7 linked regions of the Rattus norvegicus genome follow. The protein of the gene in region 3 interacts with the protein of the main gene of each other region in a pairwise test. Links are inferred from orthologs where the notes say so. Each region holds a gene or a part of one and is shown on either strand. Other genes may lie near its edges.

Region 1 (4,531 bases), about 51 Mb from region 3:
CCCAGCGTCCCTGATAATAAAAATCCAAACACTACAGTATGCCTCCACTCCAGAAAGGCTGTGGGTGGGGGTGTTAACAGAAGGGGAGCGGGCTTCCTAGAAATGTATGACCATCCTTTCCAACAGGCCCAGGCTGCTGAGAGGAAAAAGAAGGTTTACGCTTCCCCACACACTTCCTCCCCCTCCCCAGTGCTCTGAAGCAGTGCATTGGATAAAGTGCATTGAATCCTAGCCATTCTTTAAGCCTGAGAGCAGAGCCTTCCTGTGTAAGACCAGTGTCCAACATGAGGCTCACAAACTTACTTAAAATTAAGGAGTTTTCAACCCCTCCCCTTAGTCAACCTAAGCATTCAGTCTTACCGCTCACCCCCTCCCTATTGGCAAACCCTCATCCTCAATGGCTTTCTAGTTCTCGCTCACTGAGACGGCCTTAGGAGACAACCAGAGCCTGCCAGCACTGGCTGCTAAACATGATGGTTGGTCTCCTATCTGCAGGCAATGGGGTTGTCCTCTCCTAGTCATCCCAGACACATCTCCTCTCCATCATCAGTGACTTCTACAGCCTTTGTCCTTGCACTCTGGTCAGGGCTGCAAAGGATTGGCAGACCCATTTCTTAGGCTGGGACAAACACACCCCACCACACACACCCCCACCCCACCCCTACCACATCACATTCTAGCTTAAGTCATTTCTAACTACAAGTTCCTCAAAGTTGCTGTATGTGTCCAAGAGATGTGTGTGTGTGTGTGTGTGTGTGTGTGTGTGTGTGTGTTCGCTCACCCACATCTACATACAATTATACAAGATGCTACAACCCCCTCTTTTACCTCTGGCCCACAAGGCACCAATGGACAGAACGCTCTAAGAAGAGAAAGCAGAGAACATCATAGGAGGCTATGTTCCCAACAGCCTTGAGGGTTCACACCAGACTGGATGCCTCCCAGGTGTTGGCAAGCCCAGTGACAAGGAGAAAAACTGACACTGAATATGGTTCTGTAAGTGACATTGGCACCAGCATCTCTGGCGTGAGTTAAGCCCAGAAGGAAGGGAAGACAGAGCTGAGACACAAAGGCCTCTCCCAGAGTGTATTCTGGATGACTGAGAGGCTCTCGACTTTGAACAGCCATTGAGACATGGGCAGAAAGACCTAACGGGATAAGGTCTCAACCTCTGTCTGCAGCCAACATTTCACACAGCCTGGGGAGAGAGGGTGGAGAGAGCTAGGCTTCTCACGCACTCTTCATAGAGCATGCCTTCACCCTCAACGAGAGTCTTAAGGACCCTTAGACGCAAAACTCATGCAGAAAGAGTTAACAGTACTGGCTGGCCACTCTTACTGCCCACCCCAAAGTAGAAACGGAGGGCATCAACAGTGGTGAGATATTCATTCGTCAAAAGCTTCTTGAACATGGTGTGCTTTCGGGAGAGATCAGAGATTCAAGAACTAAGGGAGAGAAGCCGAAATAAAGAAGGTTCTCTGCCAAATATCTTCCTCCAAAGGAGCCTTTTGAGCCTTAAGGGAAATCAAGGTGCCCTCTCCCTAACCCGCAGCTCCGCACCCGATCCGACTGTCGCTAGGTGCAGCGGTCAGCCGACTCTGGGCAAAGCCAGCGCTAACCCGCCACAGAGCTCCAAGGATCGATGGCGCAACACACCCCTTGTTCCCAGAGACCCCCCGCCTAGACTTGCAGAGGACTTTGGCAAACTTGGAAAAGCAACTTTTCCCCGGGAGTCAGGTGCCTGGAAGAAAGGGATCGGAGCTGAAAAAAGGAGGAAAGCGAAAGAGACCCGGGAAAGGAGAATGTCCGAGCCGGCTGGACGCCGCTGCTAGGCCGGCCGGACGGCGCAACCCCCCGGGGGAGAAAAGGAAGCACAAAAAGCCCCGAGGCAAGTGGTGGGAGGCCAAGCGAGAAGAGATCTCTGGGTCCTCCACCTTCCACCCAGGATCGAGATCCCTGGGAAGCCACCAGCAGGGTCCCCGGCCTCCCGCACCAGCTGCCGGCGTGCCCGAGTCAGACACGCTGGGAGCGTGGCGGGGAGGAGGCGAGCTGGTTGCAGCGGTGCGCGTCTGTGCATTCCGGTGGGGTCCGCAGGCTGCCAGGATCGTGCGCATTTCGAGCGCGTGCGGGAGCGTGCGAGGGGCTGGGCAAGCTTGCAGCGCGCCAGGGTGGGAAAGACATTCCGAATGCATCAGGTGCAGAGCCGGGAACCCACCGTGCGCGGCCGGGAGCGCACAGCGAGCTCCGGCTCCACGGGCTGTTCCCACCGAGAGCCGAGGAGGACCCGGAGCGCCAGAGTCTCTCCGAAGCTTCCCTCTCTCCTTAAAAGGGGGCATCAAGTCCAATCAAGAAGAAGAAAAATCCCACCACGTTTTCTCTAAAGAAAACAAAACCCGAGCGGGTACCAGTCCCCTCCCACCCGCCCTCCAGGTTCACTCCTCGCTTCCTCCGGTTCCAGCTCCCCAGCCCGCCAGCGAATAAACACAAATAAATAAGACACAATCCTAGCTCACGCCAAGCGCACCGGTCCGCATACATATGAGCACCCACAGGCTCTCTGCTCCTCCGCCAGCCCTTGCCTGTACAAAGACACCCAGTCCCCGACTATACGCTCCCGCAGCCCTGGCAGACCTCCCGGCCTGCCACCTCTCACCCGGACCGGACCGTGCCCGGAGGAGGAAGGTTGGTGAGGCAGCTGCGCCCGAGCTGACAGCCTCGGCTCCGCTTTCTAGCTGACCCCCAACCGGCACGGGCGATCGCTGCAGAAGCAGCAGCAGCAACCAGAGAACCCCGCACGAGCCCAGCGGCCGAGTGGCCAAAGCTAGCGCCACCCGCCTAAACCTCTCCCGCCCCAGGGCGCCTGGCGGGAGGCGGTCGCTGGGCGGTGCGAGTCCTTCCCGGGTTCCCTACACACATACACTTACCGCTTGCAGAGCCGGGAGCTTGGGGTGGGTGTGCGTGCCTGGGGGGTTAGGGGTGTGCCTGGATCGGGGAAGGGGTGTTGCTGGGGAACTGTTGCTCCGGATCTCACGGCGGCAGCGGCGGCATCGCCCGGCAGTTCGCAGTACCCGCTCTCATCACCCTTAACTCCTCTCTGCCGCTAGGTTAGCAAATCACCACCGGCTGCGGCGCCTCCGCCGCGTCCCACGTCAACGCCGAGCCCCCTCCCCTGCGAGGCCCCGGCGCCTCTCCATCTTTAGTGCTGGCGGCCGAGCCCGGCTCCCTGCCCACAGCTGCCCCCTCCCCTCCCCCTGGCCGGCCCTGGCCCGCCCACCCCGCCCCACCCCCGCCCTGGCTGAGCCCGTGCGCGCTCCCAGCCCTGCCCTCCCTTCCCGGGCGCTCCCCTCCCTTCCCAGCGCTCGGCGCTCCGGGCTTCTCCTGACATCTAGCTGCTGCCCCGGCGCCAGCGGCTGTTGCCCGTGGCTAGGTGGAGAGGGCAAAAGGTTGCAAGGAAGAGGAGCCGCAGAGGATCTGGCAACCCCCAAGGGGTCAGAAGGATGAGAGGGAGGAACAGTTCCCACTTTAGCACCAGGTTTTTCATTTCCACTGGGCATGCGGTTTATCCCGCGTCCCCAACTCCCCCAACTCCGGTGCTCAGGAGCGCAGTTTTGTCCCGTTCTCTATTATTTGCACCAGTGTGTGGCATCTAGCCTTTCACTTTTCCTCGGGATTCGGACTGCATCCTTCCTTACCCTAGACACTAGTTTTAAATGGGTCGTTTCCCCAGTCCCAAACCAGGCCTCTCATGCCTGCCCGCGGGGATGAGCGTCTGAGTTAGCGGGATTTGGCCAGATAAATCCAGAGGGGCCAGTAGAGAACTGGTAGGAGGTGACACCTCGGTTTTGCAATCTAGATTGTCGCAAACTGAGATGTCAAGGCCCGAGTAGTAATACTTTCTCACTCCCAATCTCAGGCATCCTCCCCTTATTTTCCCCCGGCCCCAAGAACCTGGATGGAAAGTTGTGAAGATCCTGCGCCTAGCTCAGCTCAGCCTTCCGGAGCGACTGGAAGCTACGAAGAGCGCTAGGCCGCTCCAGAGTTCTTTCTTCCCTCGGCGGCTGGCCCACTTTAAAGGGCGTAGTTGAGATGCCAAACCGTAAACCAAAGAAAAATCTGTCCTTCCTCTACCTGCGGAAAGCTCCGTCTCTTCCTTTTCACATGAAACTGGGCAGGAGATTGGGGGGGGGGGAGGTACTTTTCTGAGCTCGAGCCTCCCTCAAAAGCCCCAGCGCAGTGTTTGTTGGGGGTGTGGTGGAGAGCGCCACCCAGGGGTCTCAGAAAAGTCGCCCACACAGCCCCACCCTCAAGTCATGAGGTCTTAGTTCTAGGCTTCGGTTTAGGGATGCTGTGTCCTTGGCTTACCACGGATCTCCCACAGGAGTCACAGAATCGCATCTTGATTCCCCCGGAGCTAAAGGAGGAGGAAGGTGGGCGGTGAATGGAGACAAAAACCCAGGAAGGCCAGGTGGCAAAGCTTACACATGGTCTGCACGGGGCTGCTAACGTGGTGGTCATTTATAATAACAAGGCA
Region 2 (3,951 bases), on a different chromosome or scaffold from region 3:
CCAAACACCTTTTCTGGCCTGTCAGAGCTCATTTAGAAGATTTTAATGCGTAATTCCTACAACTGTTTTTTTTTTTTTTAAATCATACTATTGCTTGAACTTCTTGAGGCCCCTGATAATTGGGCCACCCTGGAATCATTCAATCTTAAACAAATGTAGAAATGTTTGTGGTGAGTCACACAAGGCCTGGGTTGTGAGTTTGACCCTTGATTTCTGTCTATAAGACCCACCAAGTCTTATAGATAAGTCTCTTTAAGAGAATCTTAAAAGCAGGTGGGCTGGATATATGGCTCAGCCATTAAGCATGCTTGTTCCTCCCCCTCCCCCTCCTCTTCCCCCTCCCCCTCCTTTTCCCCCAGACCCACTGAACTAAATCCCCAATCCTCACTTGCCCGACTTGAGTTCTTTTTTTTTCTTTTAAAGATTTACTTATTATTGCTTACATGTACACCTCCAGGCCAGAAGAGGGCCCTAGATCTCATTACAGGTGGTTGTGAGCCACAATATGGTTGCTGGGAATTGAACTCAGGACCTCCAGAGGAGCAGACAGTGCTCTTAACCTCTGAACCAAAGAGCCACAGTTCAGTTTCCAGAAGCCCATAGGATGGCTCACAGCTGCATGTAACTAACCCAGTTCTGACTCCCTCTTCTGGCGCCGATGGGCACCTGCACACACCTGGTCCACAAAGACAAAGTCGTGCACATACACAAACACACACAAAGACAAAACAAAAAAAATCTTAAAACTAAATCAATGTTTAAAAATTAAAAGGAAGCTTAGGAGACAGGTCAGTAGGCAAAGTGCTTGTAGCAGTATGAGGACTGGGGCTTGAATTCCCAGAATCTATGTAAAGCCAGGCACAGACTCATGTGTCCATAATCCTAGTGCTTCCACAGTAAGATGGGGAGTTAGAGATAGGATCCCCAGAAGGTTGCAGACCAGCGAGCCTGGCATTTCAGAACAGCAGCAATCAACAAAGAGACCCTGTCTAAGATGAGGACTAATTCCTAGGACTGCCCTCTGGTTTCCACATGTGTGCTGTGCACATATATCCCCCCTCCCCATCATCATCATCATCTTACATATATGGAGACACATATAACTCACACAAAATTTAAAAACAGGGTGCATGGCACCCGAGTGATGACAGCCAAGGTTGACTCTCGTCCTCCAAACACCCATGAACACCAAAAAATACACCAAAAACTACACGCAAAATAAAATAAGTGGTTTCTTCTACCTTACTGAGTACATAGAAAGGGTTAGGAAAATTCTGAGACTGGCATATAGCTCAGAGGTAGAAGAAGATCAAACGTGCATGAGGCCTTGGGTTCAACCCCCAGCACTAACCTGAGCATGCGTACACACATGCATAAGCACATGCACACACCCTGTTCTGTATGGACCTGCAACGCTGATTCTTTTGTTAACAGTTTAAATTGCCAGAACACGCTAACGAGTTTCGATAGGGATCTTTAGTCCCCCCCCCCCCCCCCCCCCCCGGAGCTGGGGACCAAACCCAGGGCCTTGCGCTTCCTAGGTAAGCGCTCTACCACTGAGCTAAATCCCCAGCCCCTGATAGGGATCTTTAAAAAGTGAATTTACAACTAATAAAAGTTCCTTTTTGTGTCTTGTCTGTCATTTTGAAGATCCTACCAGCTAGTCTCTTCCACCTTTGCAGATAAAAGGACGGTGGCCGGGTCTGGAGACCGGTTTGGTGTCTGTCCATTCCTGAGTGATGCTGACCTGACCCTTCACAGCAGTGACATTGACATGCAGCCTTCTCTATGTTTCTTTCCCAGCTGCCTTGTCTCAGCTCCTATGACAGCTACTGCAGCAATCAAGTTGCTGCCAAAGCCCTGCTGGACCACAAGAAGCAGGACCACAGAGTGCAGGATTTCCTCCAGCGCTGCTTAGAATCACCCTTCAGCCGCAAACTCGACCTCTGGAATTTCCTTGATATTCCCCGGAGCCGGCTAGTGAAGTACCCTCTGCTCCTTCGAGAAATCCTGAGGCATACGCCAAACGATAATCCAGACCAGCAGCACCTGGAAGAAGCTGTAAGTTTGCCAGTTTCTTTCCCTCCTCCTGGGTCAGTCTCCATAATGGCTAGCATCAGGTCCGTAGGTACCTTGTGCACGGGCCCAGTCTTGGATTTCAGGCCTGGGATGTCAGATTCCTAAGAAACAAACCATTTTCACAAAGTATCTTAAGATCCATTTGGTTGTGTGTTTGTGTGCCTATTTGTGTGTGTGTTTGCTTGTTTTTGTTTGTATATTTAACCCAGGCCAGGGCTGGCCTAAAACTAGTGATCTAGGCTAGCTTCGAACTCATGGCCAATCTCAACCCTTCAGTGTCATCCTCTCAGATGCTAGGATTATAGGATTATGGGTATATGCTACCACACGCAGCTTGGGTTTTACAACACCCCCACCCCCGAATGTTTTTCATGCTGTTCTAATCTGGTATTAGCATTGCTAACTGTGAGAGCTAAGATCTGTGTGGAGACTTTGAGTGGAAATGGGAATTGGCTTCTAATTAGCTCAAAGCTCACCAAGAAGGGACATCCGTTTAAGATCTAGCTCCCGGGGCTGGAGAGATGGCTCAGTGGTTAAGAGCACTGACTGCTCTTCCAGAGGTCCTGAGTTCAAATCCCAGCAACCACATGGTGGCTCACAACCATCTGTAATGGGATCTGATGCCCTCTTCTGGTGTGTCTGAAGACAGCTACAGTGTACTCATCTATAAGAAATAAATAAATCTTTAAAAAAAAAAAAAAAAAAAAGATCTAGCTCCCATCTGTACCTGAATTTAGTAGGGTGTCTGATCAAACTTCCTACTTGCTACTGCACCGTCATTAAGCAGATATTTACTGAGCATGGGCCTCGTGAGGGCGGTAACCTCAACACTTGAGAGGCAGGGGATCCCAGGTTTGAGGACATTCTGTGCTACACAGTGAGAAAAACCAGCTTTTCGTGGGCTCAATGTACAGGGTCACCACCCCACATCCTTGATCTCATTTTACAACTTCACTCCTGGATATCCTTTCATTGGCTCCCCGTTCCCTCGTGCCCTTCCTAACACTGTGACTCTTTAACACAGTTCCTCATGCTGTGGTGACCCCAACCATAAAGTTATTTTTGTTGCTACTTCGTGACTGTAACTTTAATACTGTTGTGAATTGTGGTGTAAACGTCTGGTATTTAGGATATCTGATAACACGACCCCTGGGAAAGGATCATTTGACTCCCAAAGGGGTCAATACCACTGGTCACTGCTGTAGACAATCCTGGTCCTCTACTCAGCAGAAAACAATGTGTCCCAGACTATAACGTGCCACATTTTGTAAGTGATAGAGCTGGCATCTAAATCCTGAATCTAACTATTTAGAAAACTTTAATCAACTGCATAACATGGAAAGTTTCTGGAGTTGATTTGAACCCAGGTCTGAAGCAATCTGAATCCTGTTTTAAAGACAAACAAAACAAAACCAAAAAACCCAAGGACAGGAAGAAGGCTAGTAAGATGACCACATTAGCTTAATGACCTAAATAAGATTCTTAGTTGGCCTCTACTTGGGTACCATGGCATGCGTGTACACACGCACACATATACACACACACATACACACACACTCACACACATACACACACACTCACATACATACACACACATACACTCACATACATACACTCACATACATACACAAACATACACACACATACACACACACTCACATACATACACACACATACACTCACATACATACACACACATACACACACATACACACACATACACATACACACATACACATACACACACATACATACACATACACACATGCACACACACACACACGTGCATCTTTATTAAATTGGGTATTTCTTGTTTACATTTCAAATGTTATTCCCTTTCCCGGTTTCCAGGCCAACATCTCCCTAACCTCT
Region 3 (3,951 bases):
ATAGTGGCACATGCCTTTAATTCCAGCACCTGTGAGGGAGAAGCAGGTAGATAGAGCTCTGAGTTCTAGGCCAGCCAAAGCCATATAGTGAGAACCTGTCTCAAAAGAGAAAACCCAGAATAAACAATGTTTATCAGTTTGGTGTATGTGTGTGTGTGCACGCGCACATGGGCACACATGCATGCACATGAATGTGTGACTGTGCACATGCCTGAGTGTATGTATGAATGTGTGTATGTGTGTTTGTGTGTGTATTTACATATACATACATATATACACATGTATGTATGCAGAAATTAGAAGAAGGTGTCGGATCCCTTGAGACTAGAATTCCAGACATGTACGAGTTCTCATATGGTGCGCTGGGAATCAAACCAGGTACCAAGTAAGAGAAGCAAGTTTCCTTAACCACTGAGCTTTAGGCAATTATTACGGAAGGAGATTGCCAGAGGTAGGAATGTTAGGACAGGAAGAATATGTATTTATAAAGTGAGACATGCTTATAATATATTAATGGAAGATAAATACACATACACACACACACACACACACACACATATATATATATATATCTCCACTCTAAGACTAGGTAGGGGGGCTGGGGATTTAGCTCAGTGGTAGAGCGCTTACCTAGGAAGCACAAGGCCCTGGGTTCGGTCCCCAGCTCCGAAAAAAAGAACCAAAAAAAAAAAGACTAGGTAGAACTAGGTATGAACATATCATTTAGGGATATCTATCTATCTATCTATCTATCTATCTATCTATCTATCTATCTATCTCAGTGTAATACTTGTTCCTGGCAAGAATTATTGAAAAATTTTAAGTTTTCCAGGCAATCTTTGCCAAAGATTTGATTTTTAGTAATGTGTATGTATATTCATGTATGTAGGTTTATGTGCTTGTGAGCAGGTCTCCAGAGTCATTGGAAACCTCCAGGGCTAGAGTTACAGGTGGTTTTGCACTACCCTATGTACGCTGAGAACTATTTTTTAGGCCTGGCGGGATGGCTCAGAGGTTGGGAGTACTTGCTATTCTTGCAGAGAACGTGGGTTCTATTCCCAGCACCCATATGGTGGCTCCCAATTTCCTATAACTCTAGGTTCAGGGGATGGAACGCCTTCTTCTGGCCTCCACGGGCACTTTAACACAAGTTGTACATATACACATAAATAAGTCTTAAAGAAAAAATTAAAATTAATTTTCCATGTATGAGTGCTTTGCCTATATCTATGTGTATGTAGCACGTGTGAGCCTGTACCTGTGAGTCAGAGGGAAGCATTGGATCCCTTAGAACGGGAGTCATGGATGATGTGAGCCACTATGTAGTTAGAAACCAAACCTGTACCCTCTCCTAACTGCTAAGACATCTCTCTGTTCCCAGTCTGTATTTTTATCTTTGTAATTTGAAATTATCTAGAAAGTACAGTAAATGCTACCTTTTGAAAATAATTGAACATATTTTCTTCTAGATTGCTTTGTCTAATTGATTACTATGAATGTAAACTTAGAAAACATCATATACAAAGGTATAAATATAATTTTTTATTTTTTTTATATTTATTTTTATTATTATAAATTGTTTCTGTAGCTTTTGAGACTTTATGGTATGGAAGTCTTTATATCATTATAAAGTTCTTTTCCAAATATAATTATTTTTTATTCTATGAGAATTCGATATCTGTATACAGTGTATTTCAAAAATATTTACCATCTGTTTCTCCCCCTCCCCCCAAATTCTGGATTCCTCACCACATCTTCCTCATAGCTTCATGTTGAAATTCTTTTTAATAAAAGTCTGCAAGATAGTATTTTACTGTTTAGGTTAAAATGTACTGTATCTACATGAAACAACAGAAGTGTATTTCCTCTTATATTGTATTAGCATCGTGGTATATCCACTGGATAAAAGTACATTCATGAAGTATATGCACATACAGTACATTGACTGTGGGGCAGAGCAGAACATAGTTATATACATTTAAATACTAAAGATAGAATGTCAGTGAAAATCCAGGCATGTAGCTGGGCGTGGAAGTTCATCTGTAATCTGAGCTCTCTGTAGGCTGAGATAGCCAAGGACTGAGGATAGCCACAAGTTTGAAGCCAGCCTAAGCTACATAGTGAATCACCAGCTGGCTTGAGACTTGCCGCGATAGTCCCGTGGGAAGATTACATTAATGCCTATGTAAGTAAACTTAAGGCATAGTGGTATATACTGTCATTGTGAGGCAGAGGGATGGTGTATGGGGGCAAAGGGAGAGTGGTGAGCGGTAAGGAAGCAGGAGGCTCTGCACACAGATGGCAGTTCTCAAAGACGGATGGGATGAAGGATTTTTCAGTTAGGTGAATATACCAGCAGGAAAATGAACACATTTAGGCATGTTCGGTAACCGCAGAGGTTTGGGACACAGGGTAAGTGCGGTGTGCTGTGTACTGTGTATTGGTATCCACTTACACTCTACAGGGTGTTTTTAAAAAGACCAGGGAATGTTCCATTTGTATTTTGCTTGTTCATTCAAGTATTTTTCATGCCCCCCTTGTGTCCCATGACAAAGTTTTTGGTTCTCACACATTCTAAGTGAAGAGTAGTAAACAGACTACTCTAAGACTAGGTAGTTGCTGCGATGTGGTACTATTCTCTGTACAACAAGTAGGAATTTGGGATTCCCATGTTTAAGTTACTCAGCCCTTACTAAATTGGCTTCAGTTTTGCTAGCTGCAAGTTCTCTTTAAGGATAGAGTTCCACAAGATGCACTGTGTTTGTCTTCCCACAGGCAGTGTGGGGAGGATGACAGCCAGTCAGAAGGAAAAGACTATCTAAACCTGGGCGTCTCACCAACCTATAAAGGCCTTCTGACGGTATGGAGACCAGCAACTGACAAATACCTTTTCATAAAGCAAAATAATCCCTAGGAGAGTTACTTATTTTACTGTGAAATACATTGCAGTCGTTACAGAAGCAACTTGAGAAATCCAATTCCAAGATCGACGTGCTGTTGGGTGAAAAGCTGAACCTCCAAAAAGATCTGGAAAACAGGTGAGGAAAACAATAAGAATGTTAGACCAATCATTCCTTCCCCCTTACTCTAAAACTGCACCTGAGTGAGTACCTGACCCTCCTGTGCTCCTGTTGACCAGTAGTATTTCATGGTGAATGGTGAACGGAATAAGAATCCTTCGGCAAGCAAGGGAAATGCGAAAATCGGAATCCATGTTGAGGATAAAATTGGCTAAGAACTTTGAGGAGATTCAGGGTTCCGTTTTCTGTTTGTGTTTATATGTGGGTGTAAGTGTGTGTGCAGTTGAGTGTGCACATTTGTGCTCCTGTGTGTGGAAACTAGAGGTCAGCATCAAGGGGCACTGCTGAGTTGTCTACCTTGTTTTATGAGACAGGATCGCTCCGTGAGAACTGCTGGCTGCTGGGAGTTTGCTAATTAGTCTAGGCTGCCCTGCCAATGAGCCCTAGGGATCTCCTGTCTTTGCCACCACCCTCCCAGTGCTGGGATTGTAAGTGTGCACTCTCGTGCGTCTTAGTGGACTCTTGGGTTTGAACTCAGGTCTTCATGTTTGCATGCCAAGCACTTTACCAGACGTAGCTGTCTCTCTAAGCCCAGGTTCAGTCTTTGTTTAGTTTTTCTTTTAAATTAGCTATAGTGAGGGCTGGAAAACTGCTGTGCAAGCATGTGAGAACTTGAGTTCAGATACAGAACTCTTGTGAAAAGGCAAATTGTAGCAGTGTGTATCTGTAACTGCAGCATTGGGTGAAGGTGTAAAGACTGGCAGATTCCTGGAGCTCATTGGCTGGCCAGTCAGCCTAGCCAGTTGATGGAAACTAGGTCCAGTGAGAGAACAGATCTCAAAACTAAGATAGGCAGTGATGAAATATGATACCTGATGCCATCTCTGGTCTTCACACATTCACACACATGTGCATGTGCACTTGTACACAA
Region 4 (4,669 bases), on a different chromosome or scaffold from region 3:
CAGTGACCTGTAATCCCAACACTCTGGAGGCAAGGCAGGAGGATCATGAGTTCAAGGTCAGCCTAGGTTATATAGCAAGGCCTTGACTCTAAAAAAGAAAAAAAAATGCAAGCTAAGATTTAGAGCAACTAGGTATGACCTCATGCATGACTGAACTATGCTCCTTTCCCTAGGGCATACTGAGGCCTGGAACATTTTTTATCCTGACTCCTTTAGTGTTCCCACTCTGATCTTTGTAGAAAACTAAAGCCTGAAATTATAGTTAGACAGAACAAAGGAGGGCTGCTGAGAATTATTCCTAAGATATTCTGTCTTTCTGTCTTCCTAGTGAGCTTTGCTGAGGCAAATACATTCTCATATTGATTCTTCACTTGTGTTTAGGGCTTTGAGACTTTAAAATCCTGCTCCTTCATACAGGGAATTCAATCTTAGGGAGCTGGTTTGTTTTATTTTTTTTAAGAGTTTCCTACTCATTAGAGGTAAGGAGAAAGAATCCTAGAGGACTGTTGTTTGCTTGTATTACTTGTAGAACCCAGAGAGGAAGTAGGGAGGGGGAGGGGAGGGCTCTTTTTACAGTGCAGCAATAAACGAATGGTCCTTGGGGCTCATCGCATAGGCAAAGCACAGGCCTTTACTTCTTTTGGTTCTGCTGTTTGTTCCATTTCTGTGACTGAGAAAAGGCCTGAGTTGGTGACAACCTGTCTGACCCACTGATAAGTTCAGAGGACAAGGTAGACAAGGCTACCCATCTTCTCAGGTTATCTCCAGAGCAGTCCCTCTAAAAAGTGTCTATGAATGTCCAGGCCTTGCAAAAATTCCACCCCGATTATTTACAGAGCTAAGGACAAAGGTTAGGGATGCTTATTCTGCTACTGCTTAATTTGGCTGGCTCTGGGCTGGGCCTGGGGCCCAGTGACTCAAGGGGAGCTTGGTGAGTTTCGAGGGAGCTGTGAGTCATGAAGACTAACTTGGTCTCCAGACTGACTCTGGGCAGAAGGCCTTTTAACTCACTGCTGAGGATACTCTGCTTCCTTGGAGCAGAGGTCTGTTAGCAAAGAGTGCTCCAAAGCCTGATCCGTGAAGAGTTTTGAGCCCAACGGATGAGGCCTGAATCCCTGAAATTTAAATGTATTTTTATCTCAGGAGCCTCCTGGGGTCTCCAAACAAAGGCAAAAGGGAGGGGGGTGCGAATGCCATCTTTCAGTATGGATGGAGATACGGTACGACTTTAGGTCTTTTTTTGCCTGCTTTTGTAGAAAGCTTACTAGATAGCAACAACGCTCTTGGAGCTCTATTTCGGGATGGGGTGGGGGGATGAATGGGCTTGGGGTTATGTGTGGTTGTGTTTGGTATGAGTTGGAGATTGTTGAACTGTATCTGTGAAAGCCCTGGAGCTTCCTATTAATTTACTTAAGAACAGGAAGTGTGGAGGAGAAAGATTTGTTGAGCGCTGAGAGGATGAAGTCTGAATGAGGTTAAATGACAGGGCAGAGAATTGCTTAGGACTTGGACAGAAAAAAGGGTTAAGGAGGTGGGCGGGGCGACATTGGGTAGGCCTGCCCTTATGTGGACCAATAGGCGTGCGCCCCTTGGAGAGGGCGTGACTCACGCTTGAGGTTGCTGAGAGGCTGGCCTCCACTGGACCAATGAACATAGTTGTTGCCCTTGGAGGGTGTGGTCTGAGGGGGGCGTGGCAGCCGTGGTCGCAGTGCTGGGGGTGGCTGGGCGCTGGGCGGGGCGGGCGGCCCCATCAGCTGGTAGGAAATGGCCTGTGAGTCAGAGGGGCAGCTGAGTCTGCGGCGAGGAGCCGGGGCGGCCCCGGGGAGGGACCGTCGCAGGGAGGGGTGCAACAGCAGCTAGAGGGGCTGCGTACGCCAGAGCCCGCTAGTGTTGCACACGAAGCTGATCAGAGAAGAGCCAAGCAGAGCAAGGCTCTCAGCCTAAGCCACCCTTTGTCTGGGTTGGGGGCCCGTAGTAGGGGGGACTGGTTATCCGAGGGGAGGGACAGGGATCGGAACGGGGACGGGACGGAAGGGCCCGGAGCAGCGGCCACCGCGGCGGAGCCAATTTGGGAGTGGGGTGAGTGTGTACTAGGTGGAAGGATCAGATCTCCAAAACCTCTGCACGGTATGGGGCCTGTCCCAGCCTGTGAAGAAGGGATGAGAACCGACCTGGGAGGCTGAGCAGGGGGTGGGGGGGAAATCGTCCAGGACAAGGAGTCCAGGAGCCAAGGTGAGTCTCCGTGTCTGAGTTTGGAGGGGTCCCTGAGGTCTGCTCCCTCTCTATTAAGGGTGAAGGGCTCTAGGCCAGGAGTCAGAGGGAGGGAAGGTGAAAAGCAGAGATTGACCTTTCTACTCACAGCAGTGGTCTTGGGAACAGTCACCTTAGCGTGTATAGACATGTATGAGGACAAAATGTACAGCAGTGAGCAGCGGAACTCTGCCTAGGATAAGAGTGGAAAACACATGGATAGGAATTCTTCCCCCACCTCGTTAGGGTAAAAATGGGTGTCTTGAAACTGAAGGGAAGGATAGAATGAGCCTAGGTGTTCTTCCTGTACCACAACCTCTCCCACCTCCCAAGTCTAACAAGTATCTGAGGGTACAGACCTCATGGTATTCTGGGACTTGTTGTTTTTGCTGACCTTGCTCTCGGCATGTTGGGAGCTGTAGTCCTTGGCAGCCACAGTCTGGCACAGCTGTTTAATGCCAGCTGCTGCCCATCCCCAGTGTAGAGGGCGAGGTTTGGCTTATACTGGCCTGTCCCCTCTCCCTGCAGTCCTTCCCCATGAGTCAGCTTGAAGCTGGGTGGCAGAGGAGTGAGTCTTAGAGCGTCTCTGGACAGGGAGGGAACTAATAGGGCTCTGGATTAATGAGCAGATGCCAGGCATGCTGGGGTCAAGTAGGGCATCATGTCATCACCTGGCTTCCTTGAGGCAAGAGCTCAGGAGGGCAACTGAGATGACCTGGAAATTGGGGTGCTCAAGAAAACGCCCTTCTTGAACTTTAAAGCCTGGGTGGAGAACAGGCAGGGAAGAAATGAGAACAGGTTATACTCTCATGACACTGCCACTACTGACGTTCTCCACTTTCTAGCCATCTCACCCACGGGAAGGACCAGAATATTCTTAGGATCTCATTCAAAGGGGGACCTGGCGAAATGGCAAAGTATGGCCTGAAAGGAAGGCAACAGTTGATGTGGGAGAGTTTCTCAGTCCCTAAGTGTAAATGTCACCTTTCTCTCCGTCTCCTACAACCACATGAGCTGCTGCAGTTTCCCCCTGTACAATTAATCTCTCCACTCTTCACCCGTAGTGTTTCTCTACACTGTCAGGACTGCTGACCAAATCACTAGTGCTAGTATTTAGGCTTTTTTGAATTCTGATGTGTGTTTCTCCTGAGCTTGAAATGGGACTGGGGAAGAAACACAGACCCATCCTCAGGTGTGACATAATCAGAAGTAAACGGAAGTATTACCGGGTTACAGAAAGTAGTTAGTGGCACTGTCTTATGGAAGTCTGAGATGAGAGATCTTTTGGAGGGGAATGACTTTGAGATATCCGTGAAAGAGGGGTGGGAAAAGGTATTTTGTTATATTTGTTGGGCTTGGTTCTAGTTTTTGTTTTGTTTTGTTTTGTTTTCTGGAGACAGGTTTTTCACTGGGCTGGCTTTGAACTCAGAGATTTGCCTGGCTGTGCCTCCAGAGTGTGTGAACTAGCGTGTACTACCACCCTTCAGCTTCTTTGTTGGTTTTGTGTTTTGTCTGAGATAGGATGTCTTGTAGCCCCGTCTAACCGTCTGACCTTAACTGTCTGGTGGAGTGTGAAGGCCGGCTGTAACCTGTTTTTCATTTGTTTCTTTTTGTAATTTTTGTTTTGTTTGATTTTGACAGAGGACCTCTCAAAATGTAGCTAGACTGGTTTAGATCCTCCTGCCTCAGCCTCTAGCATTATGATAAAGGGCATTATGGTTGGTATTCCTCACAGACTGCTGACCAAATAAGGATGACAGTGGGGACTGTTGGCCTTCAACTTGACAGTCTGGTCACTGAAATATTGGCTAATGGTCTGTGAAGACCATTTTTGTGCCATGGCAACAAAGAAATGCTTTAGGTTTTTTTGAGTACTGGTTGTGCCTGAGGGGGAGGGGCATGGGGAGATACTCCAGTTGTTTCTAGTTGACTGCTTGCTGCTTCCTTATCTCTGGTTTGCAGGGCCTGGGGGGAGGGGTGGGAACTATAAAGTGCCTTCTGACAGTTCTCTCCTTCCATCCCTTGTTTTTGGTTAGATTTCTTTTTTTTTTTTTAAAGATTTATTTATTTATTATATATAAGTACACTGTAGCTGTCTTCAGATACACCAGAAGAGGGCATCGGATCTCTTTACAGATGGTTGTGAGCCACCATGTGGTTGCTGGGAATTGAACTCATGACCTCTGGAAGAGCAGTCGGGTGCTCTTAACCGCTGAGCCATCTCTCCAGCCCTAGATTTCTTTTTTTGTTTTTTTTTGTTTTTCTTTTTTGGGGGTGGAGGGGTTAGGGGGTGAAGGTAACAGGGTTTCTCTGTATAGCCCTGGCCATCCTGAAACTCTCTCTGTAGACCAGGCTGGCCTTGAACTCAAAGAGACCGGCCTGCCTCTACCTTCCCAGTCCTGGGATTAGAGGTGAGCAC
Region 5 (4,264 bases), on a different chromosome or scaffold from region 3:
TAGACAAGAATCTAAAGACCGAGTTAATGTTTATAAGCCTAGAGTGGGAGAAATGTCCTCGACTCCATCTTCACGGTACTGAAGTTATATTTTCTTCCTGAACGTTTCTTTAGAAACTTTTCCTGGGTTTAATTATTTTTTTTTTAAACGTTTCTTTCTTTCTTGGGAGTTGGGGAGTGTCAGGCACGCACAGTGCAAGTGCAGAGGTCAGAGTCCTCCCCCTTTACACTGTGAGTTCTAGGGGTCAAACTCAGGCCAGCGGCCTTGGTAGCAAGCACCTTTGAGCTCAGGCCATCTTGCCCTTCCTGGGTTTGTATAATTACTTTGGTCCCAAGATGTGAAGAAAGAATGGCTGGGTGCACAGTCGGAGTTGGGTGCCAGCAAAGTGAGACAGCAGCTGCCCAGGCTGCAATTTCCTCTTTGCATTTTCTCCTGAAACACAGAAGAGGAAAAGCAGCCTTGTGAATTAGCAGAAACCCAAGTGTGACTCGGGTCAGAGGCCACCCCTTCCATTTCCTCTGGGGTAGCTGCCCCTAAGGCTGTAGGGCTCCCATAAAGGAAGAGTTGAGAGAGAATAAAGTCGGTCGCTAAGAGAAAAGATGGTTTTCCAGTTACATGTTTTAAGAATGGTGTATATTTTGTAATCCACACATCTACTGAAGAGAAAAGGCCCGGCCACACAGGATAACACCGTGTCCTCTGTTTATCGGCTGCGTGTGGTCAGTTCTGCTCTCCCTGAGCCAGGAAGTCCTGTTCACCATCAAGATGGTGATTTAGACGGTGGACATTAGAATGGGGTTGAGGCAGGCAAGATGGCTCATTGGGTAAGAATACTTGCCCCCAAGCCTGACAGCTGGAGTTCATTTTCTGGGACTCACATGGTGGAACGAGAAAATCGAGTCTAAGGCTGTAGGGCCCCCTTGTTTGTCCTGCACACATTCACTGTGACCCACACAGGTACAGGTGCGTGCCCTCCTACCCCCACCCCTCCCTGCCCCCCCTTCTTTCTTTCTCTGCCCCCCCTTTTCCCATCCCCCCTTTCCTCTCTCCCTCTTCCAATGACTTAGGTTTTGGCTTAATAAAATCCAGAAGTCTGTCATAGAGGAAAAAGAGGGGTGACAGTTATCTGAGGTTCTGAACATAAGTGAGATTATGAGGGTGGGGAGGGGTGTGGATAAAAGAGGTCACCCTGACTGTCTCCTGGATTTTGCTAGCAGACACACGAACTGTGCAGCCTCTCCAGTGTAAATCGTAGCATGGAAGTCTTTGCATTCTATGGCAATGGCCTAAATTCTGGCCAGGAGCCACTGAGGTGCTGGGAGTAGCTGACAAGCAGGAGGACACATTTACCAGGAAGGTGCCCACCCAGGAAGAACTGCTGCGGGTCCTAGAGCCCTGGGCGGCTGCTGAGAGCAGGGGATGAGATGGATTGACAAGGTGTTGTGACTTTCGCCCTCTCAGACCAGTCTCTCAATGTTAGGTTTGTTCCAGGACCTCTGTTGGAGGGAGGGCACACCTAGGGTCTCCTGAGACACAGAAGCTCAAGGGTTCTGTACTTGTGGGTGGTGCTGTGAGGAAAGCGGGCTTGCCGTGTCATACATGGTGAGACTTTGGCTGCTTAATTCTCGTGATCCTTCTTAAAAATGCATGCAAGAAACTCCAGAAGGTGTTTTTGAGGTTCCTCAAAACATGGTTTTAGTCCCATGTGAAGTCAGCTGGGACTGTGTGTGCTTTCAGCAACTCTTGAAGGACCCCAAGGTGTCCCTTGCTGTTCTGAATCCCTACATTAAGCGCTCCATCAAAGTGAAAAGCCTGAAGGACATCACTACAAAGGAAAAATTCTCTCCGCTGACGGCCAACCTCATGAGTGAGTGCTGGGGTCCCAGTGGGCTTTTCCTAAATCCCTGTTGGGTATTTAAAAACAGCGCTCATAACCACTGAGCGCCTCTCCAGACCCCATTCATATCCTTAAAGGACTGAGTATGGTATTTTCAGGCTACAAGGTGTCATTGCTTTCGGTGGCTCAGTGAGTTTCCTGTCACTTTCCCAGATTTACTTGCTGAAAATGGTCGCCTAGGCAACACCCAGGGCGTCATCTCTGCCTTCTCCACCATCATGAGTGTCCACCGTGGAGAAGTGCCGTGCACAGTGACCACAGCATTTGTAAGTAACAGCTCTTGCTGCTGCACTGGGGACATGGCTGGTCCCTCGTGAGGTTCTGTCAACTTCCACTCAGAAGACCCAGTGTGTGTCCTATTAGTGATTAGTCGTGGGGGTCTGAGTGTTTTATGAAATAATGACTTAGGCCCTGTTACAACCTGAAGTCTTAAATGGGATGGGAGCATTTACCTGTGGGTTGGGGTGCACAGGCCCTCTGATCCACTGGAATGAAATGTTAACGAGTCACCGTTCTTCAGGGCTGCCATCTGCTGGGGACCTTGTAATGTGTTACTGCTCTCAGAAAATAGGCATCCAATTGAACTGTAATTGTCCTTATTTTACAGTCAGGAAGCCCAGCTCAACAAGACAGGCTCAGGATCTGAACACAGGCTCTCCTCTCAGAGGCCCATACTCTTTATGCATTATATGCCCTGCGACAAGTCATTTTATTGTTCTCCCCATGACATAGGTCAACCAGAACAGGAAAGGTGTTTGATGCAACACATGAGTAGTAGTGTACAGCCCCTGGCCTCATCCAGGTTGTAGTTCAGTTGGGGGGGTGGGGAGCTTGTGTGGCCAAGCCCTCTGCCTAAAACCTGTGCATTAGAGCATGCATTGTGGTGTGGCCATTCCCCAGGCCCCCACCCCCACCCCAAAACACTCAAGCACACACTCACACATTCGTGCATGCATGCATACACATGTGCACACAGGTCAGTCAGGAGTCACTGGCCTGTCTTGGTTTCATACCCACTGTGGTATTTCTCTCTCCTTTGACTGTGTTTGCTGCTGTAGTGCTCTGCTTAAAGGATTGTTGCTTCTTTTTCAGCCTTTAGATGAAGCTGTTCTCTCTGAGTTAAAGACAGTGCTGAATAGCTTCCTGAGTAAAGGCCAGATACTGAACCTGGAGGTCAAGGTGGGTTTGCATAATTGTGGAGTGTGTTAGTGCCAGGGCAGGGCTTACACACAATGGTTCTGACTCAGGTGTAGTTCCCATTTGTGTGGTGGGTGGCCTGCCTACCCCGGGATGTTCTCATCTGCGCTGTGTTTCATGTGTGCGGCCTGTTTTCTTTCCTAGACTGACCCATCAATCATGGGTGGGATGATTGTCCGAATTGGAGAGAAATACGTTGATATGTCTGCAAAGAGCAAGATTCAGAAGCTCAGCAAGGCCATGCGGGATCTGCTCTGAGAGACTGTCACCTGTGTGAGCGCTTGTCTTTGGAGCACAATAAAATGCTTCCTGAACAGAGGACGTGAGGGCCCTTGTCCTTTAAGGGGCAGCACCAGGTTTTCAACCTCCCACAGGACAAATCCTCTCATCTCCAGGTTAGAAAGTCCTTTGGGCTGGAGGATTTAGTTTGTATGTGTCATTCGTAGGAATTCATTGACTCAGTAAGCATTGTACCTACATATATAGTCTAGTACTGCCTATCAAAATCTCCTATCTTTGAAGGGAGCTGAGAAGTGGTCCCTAACCAGTCATGAAGACCTCCCTACTGAAAGGCTCTCAATCCTGACACAGAGCCCCTAACTGTAGGAAGCTCTAACATTCAAGACTACACTTTGTGTTCCTAGCAGTCTTGTGATTTGCTCAGAGCGACATGGCTAAGCAGCAGGTGGTGAGGCCCCAGGACCCTCATTTGCCATCTCCAGCTCACGCCTGTTCCCTTGTGACAGAAGGCACGCTTTGACCACTGCTGGAGCCAGCCCACCAGGCTACACACACGTCCCATGTCCCCTCCCCCAGTGTTCTGAGTTCACCTAAGCCAAGCAGCACACACATTCCTCCTGAAGCTTACCTCTGAGGCTGCTGGAGCAGCCAGATCTCCCTGAGTGACTGTAGTCCCTCCCTGAGCACTCCCAAGAGTGTTTGCCTAACAGACTACTCTGACTACTCCAGAGCGCTCCTGGTGGATACCTCAAGAATGGGCAGAAAGAGTGCAGCAAGTCCTCAAGGGCAGGGGCGGGCCCAGGGCTCCACTCCCTGCCTGCTCCAGCATGGCTGTGGGCCCTCACCGGCCCATCGGGCCTGGCAGCCACCTGCCAGAGACCCCAACAGGACTACAGCACAAAGGACTCTGCTTTCCAGGGGCCAAGAATG
Region 6 (4,434 bases), on a different chromosome or scaffold from region 3:
GGTGTAGGCTGGGGTGCGGCAGGGGAAAGGATAGGGATGAGGGGGTAGGGGGCGGGGGGGGGGGTGAGGGGGACTTGCAAAAGACTGCAGTAGGTAGCACATTTTCCACAGCTGTCATGCACACTCCAGCTAGTCTCCAGAGACTCGTTTGATAAAATCAAACCTCTACTACCCACATGCAAACCAGTCATCTAAGTATCCAGCTCATACAGTTGCCCATATGTGGTCCTGTAATTATTCCATTTGGACTGAAGACTGTAGATTACTCTTTGTCCTGTCAGCAGACTTCTGCCCCCAGGAGGCTAAGTACGAAACCACAGCTAGGTAAACCACTGCTGCCAGGACCCGAGGATTTACAAAAAGGCATTTTTTTTTAATGCCATCAGTTAACCCTTCGGAACATTTAGCATTAAATTCTCCATTTGTATTTCAAGGACCAACACTACCCAATTTGGTGCATTGTTTAAAGGTTTAACTCGGATTTTCAATTCCCTAGCTGTCACCTAATATGTTCATGAACTTGGGTAAATTAACCACGGGAAAAATTAATAAAGTCGGCAACAGAGGTTTGTGGAGACAGGATTGTGGGAATTCGGTGTACTATGCGGAAGCTCTTAACGGAAAACCTGGAGCAATTTCGCAGACGACAGCTAACAAGTGTAAAAAAAAAGTTTTATATTTATTAAACTGCAAGCTATAATAATTACTAGCTCTCATTACCGTTGGTCTGACTTTTGTTATTGGTATTGTCCGGTTTCATAAAGGGAAACTAGCCAAGGCTCAGAATTCTACAGCACCAAGCGAAAACAAAGAAAGTCAACAACACTTTGCTTTTCACCTGCCTACCCTACGCTCAGCTTCACTCTTGCCCCCGCCCTACGTCGGCCACTGCTCCGCTGGTCCCCACCCCCGCCCAGCCCAGACCCCCCCAACCCAGCCCAGCCCCCCCGCCCAGCCCAGCTTAGCCCACACACCCCTGGCCCAGCCCTACCCCCGCTCTCCCAACCCTCACACCCTGCCACCACCACCACCCCCCAGCCCTCTACCCCATCTCCACCCCCAGTGAGACTGCTCCCTCCCCAACCCCTCACAAAACACGCTCCAGCCCTAGTCCGGTTGGCCCGGCTCCAAGATACGCGCAGCACTGAGGTCACGCCCCTTCTGGAGACTAAGCCCCTCCCACATACAGCTTCCGTCGCAGAGAGGTACATAGAGGTTGCTTATTGGCTGCTAGCAAAAACTCTCCTCTTTTCATTAGTAGATACCGTCCGGGTCGAAGTTCCACGGAAGATGCTCTTAGCAGCTTGGGCTGAGGGTCACAGGCACGTGGACTTCCGTTTCCGGTGTGTCCTGCAGCCATGGCCACCGCCAGGGCATCGAGATTTCTGCTGCTGTTCTGCAGATCGTGCCGCAGCCTTCGAGGACCCCAGTCCCGAGTAAGTGCATCTTCCTCTGCTGGCGGAGAACTGGGTTTCCAGAGACATCTCTCGGAGGAGCAGCGACCTCGGCGATGCCTCGGACAGCAAGCACCTGCAACTTTTCTGTTTCTTTCGCTGTCTGCAGGCATTCGCTGCCCTTGTGCCCGGTGTGTCCCAGGTAGACAACAGGTCCGATTTCCTGGGGAAGAAGCCCCATCGCAAGCATCCGGGCATCCTGCATCTTCCGCACGTACATCTGCCGCAAGCACTGACTGACGCCGCGCAGTTACTGCTTCTTGGTGAGAAACTGCGGGAAGGGGAAACCAGGAAAACAAAACGAGGTCAGCACGATGCGGTGACTCTTTCTATCTGTGACCGCAGAGAGACCCAAGCGCAGTGTAGAGAAGCAGGTGCAAGCACTCACCAACTATCTCTGGAGCCGACATTTACCAGTAGAGCCGGAGGAGTTGCAAAGACGGGCCGCCTATCTTGAGAAGAAATTTCTGGAAAAACAAGGTAGGGGCTTAAGGCTAAAAGTAAACCAGATAGAAATGTCAATGAGAAGTTAGGAATAAGGACTAATTTAAATCTCTCAGATGAATGCTGCCGTTTCTTATTTGATGCTGTAGTAACAGCCCTACTAAATGATGCCCTCCTAGAAGGCAGATAGAGCCACAGGTTGGGGAAAGAGATTCGGGAAAGGTCAGAAGTTTAGGTCTTTGGATTTTCTTGATTTTTTTTCCCCCACCTCTGCAAGTCAAATAGATTACCACTATATTTTGAGTCCGGCGACTAAAGGCCATATGGCTGTCCAGTAAGTGCGAAACCCACTTCAGGGATAGAAAATGATTACATTTCAGATTAATTTTTAAGACTATGAACTTCTTATTGCAAATTTGCCCTTTACTAACCCTGTACTCCCTGCACTCCTCACAGTACTTGGTTAAGGGTAGTGTCTTAGTGTTCTGGTTTTTTGTTTGTTTTAATATTTATTTATTATATATGAGTATACTGAAGCTGTCTTCAGACACACCAGAAGAGGGCACCAGATTCCATTACAGATGGTTGTGAGACACCATGTGGTGGCTGAGATTTGAACTCAGGACCTCTGGAAGAAGAGTCAGTGCTCTTAACCGCTGAGCCATCTCTCCAGCCCGTGTTCTGTTGTTGAAGAACCATCACGGCAACTCTTAGAAAAGAAAGCGTGGGGCTGGGGATTTAGCTCAGTGGTAGAGCTCTTACCTAGGAAGCGCAAGGCCCTGGGTTCGGTCCCCAGCCCCGGAAAAAAAAAAGAAAGCGTTTGACTGGGGCTGGCTTACAGTTTCAGAGGTTTAGTCCATTGTTGGTGTGACAGCACGCAGGCAGACGTGGTGCTGGAGAAGGAACTGAGAGTTCTACAGGATCTGTAGGTTTGCCCTTGCCATGGCCTTTTGAAACCTCAAAGCCCACCTCCTAATTCTTTCAAATAGTGCCACTCCCTAGTGACCGAGTATTCCAATCCACTAGCCAATGGGGACCAAATCGGGGCCATTCTCATTCAAACCACCACAGTAGGTGTTTGTAGTACTTTGCCCAGTGGTACAGATCTCCACACAGTCACGAGACTTGGATTTTCAAGCCTCTTTCTATAGTAATAATTGAAGATGTCTCACTCCTAAGTATAAGGGGCGGAAAAGTCCATAAAGGCGCCCTTATCGTAGCTTTTAAATTTTTACCACATGGGCAAGAGAGGTGATACAGAGTGGAAAAGCACTCGCCACCAAACCTGACGATGACCTTCTCTGCCAAGTGGGTGGACGTGAGAACCGAACCAGACCTCTACTCACACGATAAATGAATATAAAGAATGTTTTCATTTTTATCAGGCTTCTGCCTGCTGTGAAGCAAAACTCGGAAGGGTTAAGTTGGCTAAACTAGTATTTTAGCAGTCCGGATACTATTAGGTAGGTACTGCGTAGGCCAGATACTGTTGGATACACTCTGACGGTGGTGGCCCTCAGTCTTACCACGCTTCCCTGAAGTTTTGGCCTCTTTCTCAGACTTTGAGCATTTTCTTGGGGCAGGGAGGTGTGCACCACATGGGATCTGAGCGATTCTCAGAGGTCCTCACCTCCAGTCCTTTTCGCCCCAGACTCAACTCAGACAGAGGAAAAACTTCGTGAGGCGGTACTGCACGCCCTGCGCAAAACTACCTACCACTGGCAGGAACTCAGGTAAGGACTTACAGGAAGGGTACAAAGAAGACATGTTTTGAGCAGAACTGAAGAGCCCATCACCTCTCTGTTTGAGAAAACTGTCTGAAATCTTCTGTACTAGAAGGTGAAAGGACTGACCGGAAGAGTCCTTGACATGTACTTTGTTTCATAAACTTTAGAGGGTATCTGGGGCTGGGTTATTTCCTAGGGAGGATTGACAATCTGACATTATTATTATTGTTGTTGTTGTTGTTGTTGTTGTTGTTGTTGTTGTTGTTGTTATTATTATTATTATTATTATTATTATTATTATTATTATTATTATGGCAGCTACAATGAAGAACTGAGCCTGATCTATATGGCAGCAAGATTGGACGGTGGTTTTGCTGCAGTTTTCAGGGCATTCCATGAGGTAAAAAATCTCTCCGCATCCAACCTGACCCCCTTTATCATTGATTTTGTTTTCTGTAAATTAGTCTTCTGTGGTAGGAGTTCTTAGACACATTAATGGTTCTATTTATCCTTTGGAAAAAAAAAATCCTGCGGCCCAACAAAGGTTAGAATCACCCAGGTGTTTCCTAACCGAGAGTATGTTTTAGCGAATCTCACAAGTGCGTTCATCTCTCTCCTCTGTCACAGTTCCCTGATAGTCGCTAAAGCCCTGATTGCTATTCTGTGTCTCCTTCAGATCCAGGCTCGAATCCCAGAGTTCCAGCCACAGACGTTGATGGACTTCGGGTCTGGCACTGGTTCTGTTGCCTGGTAAATAACTTTGTTAACCCTTAGCCCTATCAGGTCTAACTCTAGAGCAGTAGTTCTCA
Region 7 (4,482 bases), on a different chromosome or scaffold from region 3:
TTTAGGTATTCCTTGAGTTCCCGCAAGCAGTTACTTTTCACGACTGGGTCACAAGAAGGGGTAACGATGAAAAGATGCCTTGCACAACTATTTCGCATGTTCATTCATTGGACGACTCAATGATTCTTCACGATCCGCTCAATGCTTATATATGTAATAAAATGTAAAAGGGTCTCTCTTGTAGCCCAGGTTGGTCTGGAATTTCCTTTCTTCTCCATCTCCCAAGAGCTGAGGATTACAGGGTTGCCACTACTTCCAGTTTACTTGGCATTTAATGTGTATAAATATTTCATTAATAATTTGAAGCACACACAAAGTAAAGAAAGCATCTAGTGTTGCCACTTAGCCATCACACTCTTGTATCTTCTTTACCTGTATCCCTCCTCTAGCTCTCAATGTTTTGAAATAACTCTGTAAGGCGCTCTCACGTGTCAGCATTGCTGGTGAAGTAGTCAGAAATTAAAAGTAGGGGTCTTTTCTCTTCACATTCACTTTTGATAAAAGGATCAGAGGTAACCAACAGCAAATCCTGTTCAATGAAAGTCCCCAAAGTAAGGTTTAGTTATTAGGTCCTCAGACGCACCCGAGCTTTACAAATAACGCCCAGATTCTGCGGACACGGTTGCCCTGTCTTATGTCTCTATAATTTTCATGATAATGAAAGATAAACAATTATGTAGGGCCTTGGCGAGGGAAAACTTAAGTACTCAGGCTCCGTCCGTAAAGTAGAAGGAAAGGTTAGTACATCATTTTTAGCAGCTTCGTTCGAGCGTCATCAGCAACTATTAGGAGCTGGGCTCTGGGGTGTAGGTCGGGATAGGCAGACATGATCGTAGCCGCGCAAGCGGACAGCAATAGTGAGGACCGCGCCTCCTGGCGGCTGTTCCGAGGCTTCACTCGGCACTGTTCAAAGCGTGGTCAGTGAGCTGAACAGAGAACCTTCGCTCATCAACTTGCAATAGATTCGAACACAACGGTAGTCAAACAAACTTTTTACTCATACATTTGCAGATTTAAATAGTCACAAGGTGAAATGTAAAATTACTAGAGGCGTGTTTAAAAATATAAAACCGGAACTCCAATCAAAATTCCAAAAGCTATGTGCAAATTTATAAGCTGCTTCAAAAACTTTATTTTTAAAATGTTTAAAATTCGATTGAAACTTCAAATAATTAAAACTTCAAAGCTCAGACTGAAGTTTACAAGTTGAACTTCATAAAACTTTTTAACATGTGAGTTATCCCTTCAACCACATTCACACCACAGTCCTGGTAGACGGTGTTTTAGTCTCTACAGCACACTCTCCCAACACTGTTCTGCAAAAACCACGCGAGGGGCACCAGGGCACGCTCTTGGAGCATGGAGGCAAAAATCACTCATGCACATTTTTTTAAAAATTAAAAGTATTCCGTGAGAGCTTGCCTCAGATCAGAGTTGCACAGGACCGAGATAGTCTACCAAGACCCACTCCTGCAGCTCCACCCCCTCTCGAGAGTCTAGTTTGTTAGGCCCGCCCAGTCCTCCCCGTCTCGCCCCGCCCCAGAAGGGCACCGAAGATTTACGTCACTTAGTCCGGACCGCAGATTGTCCCGCAGGATATGCGTCATCAGGTGGCGACAGATTTGCGGCTGTCGTGCTTCCTATATCTGCCATGGTGAAAGTAGGAAAGCTGGTGGAGGAGCAAAAGGCGGCGATGGAGGAAGAGAAAGAGGTGAATGCAGAGGCGGCGGAGGAGCTGGAGGAGGCCGAGGAAGCGTCCTGCAACGGCAGCAAGAAGAAGGTAGTTCCGGGTATTGTGTACTTGGGCCACGTCCCGCCGCGATTCCGGCCCCTGCACGTTCGCAACCTGCTCAGCGTCTACGGTGAGGTGGGACGCGTTTTCTTCCAGGCCGAGGGTAAGCCCTACGTCGAAAGGAGAGGGTAGCGTTGCGGGCAGAGGATACGACTTATTTTCTTAGCTGTCCATGTATGAGGCGTGGGGTGCTGGCTCTGGGAAAGCTCTGGCTCCCTACTAGCTGCTAAGTATGTAGCGCTCATGTCCCTTAGGTGGCAGGGGCGGGGAAGGAAAATGGAGAGGGTGAGTGGATAGAGTATGCTAATAAGGTCCGAAAGATATCCTCGGATTTCTTTTCTTAAAGATTTATTTTATTTGTATGGGTACACTAGCTGTTTTCAGCCACACCAGAAGAGGGCATCAGATCCCATTATAAAATGGTTGCTGGGAATTGAGCTCAGGACCTCTGAAAGATCAGTCAGTGCTCTTAACCACTGAGCCATCTCTCTAGCCCTCCTCGATTTTTCACATAGTCCCTGACACTGTATAATTAACCTCCTTCAGCCTCTTCCACCTCTTGACGTACACAATTTGGAAATGGAGGTAGGGACTGGAAATGGAGGAATGAGTTAAAGAAAGGAGAAGCTACACCTTACAGACAGCCCGAAAAGGGTTGTAAAGTAGCACCCAAACAAGCAGGTTTGGACGTATGGCCAAACTGAGGTGTGTCTCAGTGGGTGCTTGACCAGGATGTTCATTGTGTTTGGCTCACAGACCCCTTTGTGAGACGAAAAAAGAAGGCAGCCGCGGCTGCAGGAGGAAAGAAGGGAGCTAAATACAGCAAGGACTATACCGAAGGCTGGGTGGAGTTCCGAGACAAACGCATAGCCAAGCGAGTGGCAGCTAGTCTACATAACACACCCATGGGTGCCCGCAAGCGCAGTCCCTTCCGTTATGACCTGTGGAACCTCAAGGTGAGTTCTAGGTTTCTCTGTCACACTTTCATTCTTACCTCCAGCTCTAGCCTGGGCACCCCATCTTTCTTGCTAGGTCTAAGAAGCTCCCAGTTTCTTCTCCATTCTGATCGTCCCTATTTTAACCTTTTCTTGTTTTTCTGCCCACAGTATTTGCATCGTTTTACTTGGTCCCACCTCAGTGAACACCTTGCCTTTGAGCGCCAGGTACGAAGGCAACGCCTGAGAGCAGAGGTTGCCCAAGCGAAACGAGAGACTGACTTCTATCTTCGAAACGTAGAACAGGGACAACGCTTTCTTGCAGCTGATGGGGATGCTACTCGACCAAATAGCTCCTGGACATTTACTCAACGTCCCACTGAGCAGGAGCTGAGGGCCCAGAAAGGAGCACGGCCAGGAGGGCGGGAACGAGCTCGGCTGGCCACAGTCCAGGACCAGGCCCGATCCAACAGAGGGCTACTTGCCAGGATCTTTGGGGCCTCTCTACTTGCAGAGAGCAGGAAAGAACCGTAGCCTATAAGGGACTACTAGTGGAAGAAGAAATGCCTGCCAGCCCTGCCTCCTTCTCATCTGCCTCCTGCAGAGTGTAACCATCTAGGCAGATGTTTGCTCTGTTCCACAGACCAAGAGTCTGGTAAAAGGCCTTTTTTGTTGGTGTCTTTTACCCACTTTGACCAAATCTTTTAAGTGCCAGTCTGAGAACTTTACTCATACTATCCAGGATGAAGACCACTGTAGGTGCCTGCTGTGTTTGTCATCTGATTGCCTGCCTCTTTCTCAGTGGGCACCTAACAGTTTCTGGCTGGAAAGAGTAGACTTGCCTTCCACTAGGGTAGTGGTCTGTGGTCTTTGTTCACTGTAGTGGAGGGCTGAATTAACAGGAATTGGATTTGTGGTCCAATTTGTGGTTTATGTTTAAAAATAAAAAATAATTTATATGCTTTTTAGTTTTTTTCAATAAGTTTTAATTTCTTTTGAAGCCACACATACCACCAAGTTACTCTAGCAGATATGATCCCAATGCTCCTCAAACCTTTTTTATTTTGAGATAGGGCCTCACTCAAGTGCTCAGGCTAGCCCTGAATGCATTCTGTAAGTTGTTCAAGTTACCCTTGAGCTGACTCTGGTCAGGTAGGGTCTGGACATGAAATCCTGTCTCAGCCTCCCAAGAACCTAGGATTGTAGGCCGGTTGTCAACAGGCCTAGCTTTAATATTCTTAAATAAACAAATAGAATAATAATTTATCTTCCTTCTCTTTGTAGGGTAAATCCTTACCTAGAAAAGGCATTTACAAGCTATCACAAGCCTTATCTTTTAAAATGTTTCAATATTCATTTTGGTACATGTCTTCTGTACAAAAACTGCATATGTGATAAGAAAGATGTTTACTAATAGATTTAGGGGTTAAAAAACTCTTATGATTTGAATATGCTTGCCCCAGGGAGTAGCACTATTAGGAGATGTGGCCTTGCTGAAGTAGGTGTGTCACTATGGGTGTAGGCTTTAAGACCCTCATCCTAGCTGCCTAGAGTTCAGTCTTCCACTAGCAGCCTTCAGATGAAGGTATAGAACTCAACTCTGCCTGCACCATGCCTGCCTGGATGCTGCCATGTTCCTACCTTGATAATAGATTGGACCTCTGAACCTGTAGCCAACTCCAATTAGATGTTGTCCTTTATAAGACTTGCCTTGGTCATGGTGTTTATTCATAGCAGTTAAACCCTAACTAAGAC

Evidence for each region.
Region 1: the proteins of Cep70 (region 3) and Zbtb16 interact in binary tests that used the Homo sapiens proteins (3 or more experiments, as listed by UniProt). The two-hybrid records come from large-scale screens. The link is inferred for Rattus norvegicus from reciprocal best matches to the Homo sapiens genes CEP70 and ZBTB16.
Region 2: the proteins of Cep70 (region 3) and Arhgef3 interact in binary tests that used the Homo sapiens proteins (3 or more experiments, as listed by UniProt). The link is inferred for Rattus norvegicus from reciprocal best matches to the Homo sapiens genes CEP70 and ARHGEF3.
Region 4: the proteins of Cep70 (region 3) and Atosb interact in binary tests that used the Homo sapiens proteins (3 or more experiments, as listed by UniProt). The link is inferred for Rattus norvegicus from reciprocal best matches to the Homo sapiens genes CEP70 and ATOSB.
Region 5: the proteins of Cep70 (region 3) and Atp5po interact in binary tests that used the Homo sapiens proteins (3 or more experiments, as listed by UniProt). The two-hybrid records come from large-scale screens. The link is inferred for Rattus norvegicus from reciprocal best matches to the Homo sapiens genes CEP70 and ATP5PO.
Region 6: the proteins of Cep70 (region 3) and Mettl17 interact in binary tests that used the Homo sapiens proteins (3 or more experiments, as listed by UniProt). The link is inferred for Rattus norvegicus from reciprocal best matches to the Homo sapiens genes CEP70 and METTL17.
Region 7: the proteins of Cep70 (region 3) and Abt1 interact in a two-hybrid assay, tested with the Homo sapiens proteins (2 studies listed by BioGRID and IntAct). The two-hybrid records come from large-scale screens. The link is inferred for Rattus norvegicus from reciprocal best matches to the Homo sapiens genes CEP70 and ABT1.

Annotation. Positions count from the first base shown.
Region 1 is NC_086026.1:58,070,513-58,075,043, forward strand, and holds the start of Zbtb16 (zinc finger and BTB domain-containing protein 16), read right to left. Parts: upstream 2,996-4,531; 5' UTR 2,925-2,995; intron 2,901-2,924; exon of another isoform or gene 2,654-2,900; intron 2,358-2,653; exon of another isoform or gene 2,216-2,357; intron 1-2,215. UniProt on the Homo sapiens protein: Acts as a transcriptional repressor. Transcriptional repression may be mediated through recruitment of histone deacetylases to target promoters. May play a role in myeloid maturation and in the development and/or maintenance of other differentiated tissues.
Region 2 is NC_086034.1:2,574,413-2,578,363, forward strand, and holds part of Arhgef3 (rho guanine nucleotide exchange factor 3), read left to right. Parts: intron 1-1,803; coding exon 1,804-2,061; intron 2,062-3,951. UniProt on the Homo sapiens protein: Acts as a guanine nucleotide exchange factor (GEF) for RhoA and RhoB GTPases.
Region 3 is NC_086026.1:108,716,895-108,720,845, forward strand, and holds part of Cep70 (centrosomal protein of 70 kDa), read left to right. Parts: exon of another isoform or gene 1-589; intron 590-698; exon of another isoform or gene 699-1,469; coding exon of another isoform or gene 1,470-1,526; exon of another isoform or gene 1,527-1,813; intron 1,814-2,775; coding exon 2,776-2,860; intron 2,861-2,949; coding exon 2,950-3,038; intron 3,039-3,951.
Region 4 is NC_086023.1:62,061,746-62,066,414, reverse strand, and holds the start of Atosb (atos homolog protein B), read left to right. Parts: upstream 1-1,801; 5' UTR 1,802-2,079; intron 2,080-2,092; exon of another isoform or gene 2,093-2,232; intron 2,233-4,528; exon of another isoform or gene 4,529-4,669. UniProt on the Homo sapiens protein: Transcription regulator that may syncronize transcriptional and translational programs.
Region 5 is NC_086029.1:44,650,320-44,654,583, reverse strand, and holds the end of Atp5po (ATP synthase subunit O, mitochondrial precursor), read left to right. Parts: intron 1-1,737; coding exon 1,738-1,867; intron 1,868-2,050; coding exon 2,051-2,163; intron 2,164-2,989; coding exon 2,990-3,076; intron 3,077-3,238; coding exon 3,239-3,352; 3' UTR 3,353-3,413; downstream 3,414-4,264. UniProt on the Homo sapiens protein: Subunit OSCP, of the mitochondrial membrane ATP synthase complex (F(1)F(0) ATP synthase or Complex V) that produces ATP from ADP in the presence of a proton gradient across the membrane which is generated by electron transport complexes of the respiratory chain.
Region 6 is NC_086033.1:27,054,571-27,059,004, forward strand, and holds the start of Mettl17 (methyltransferase like 17), read left to right. Parts: upstream 1-1,340; 5' UTR 1,341-1,358; coding exon 1,359-1,436; intron 1,437-1,563; coding exon 1,564-1,717; intron 1,718-1,799; coding exon 1,800-1,934; intron 1,935-3,549; coding exon 3,550-3,631; intron 3,632-3,943; coding exon 3,944-4,025; intron 4,026-4,301; coding exon 4,302-4,375; intron 4,376-4,434. UniProt on the Homo sapiens protein: Mitochondrial ribosome (mitoribosome) assembly factor. Binds at the interface of the head and body domains of the mitochondrial small ribosomal subunit (mt-SSU), occluding the mRNA channel and preventing compaction of the head domain towards the body.
Region 7 is NC_086035.1:42,125,587-42,130,068, forward strand, and holds Abt1 (activator of basal transcription 1), read left to right. Parts: upstream 1-1,600; 5' UTR 1,601-1,651; coding exon 1,652-1,895; intron 1,896-2,548; coding exon 2,549-2,748; coding exon of another isoform or gene 2,749-2,898; coding exon 2,899-3,261; 3' UTR 3,262-3,695; downstream 3,696-4,482.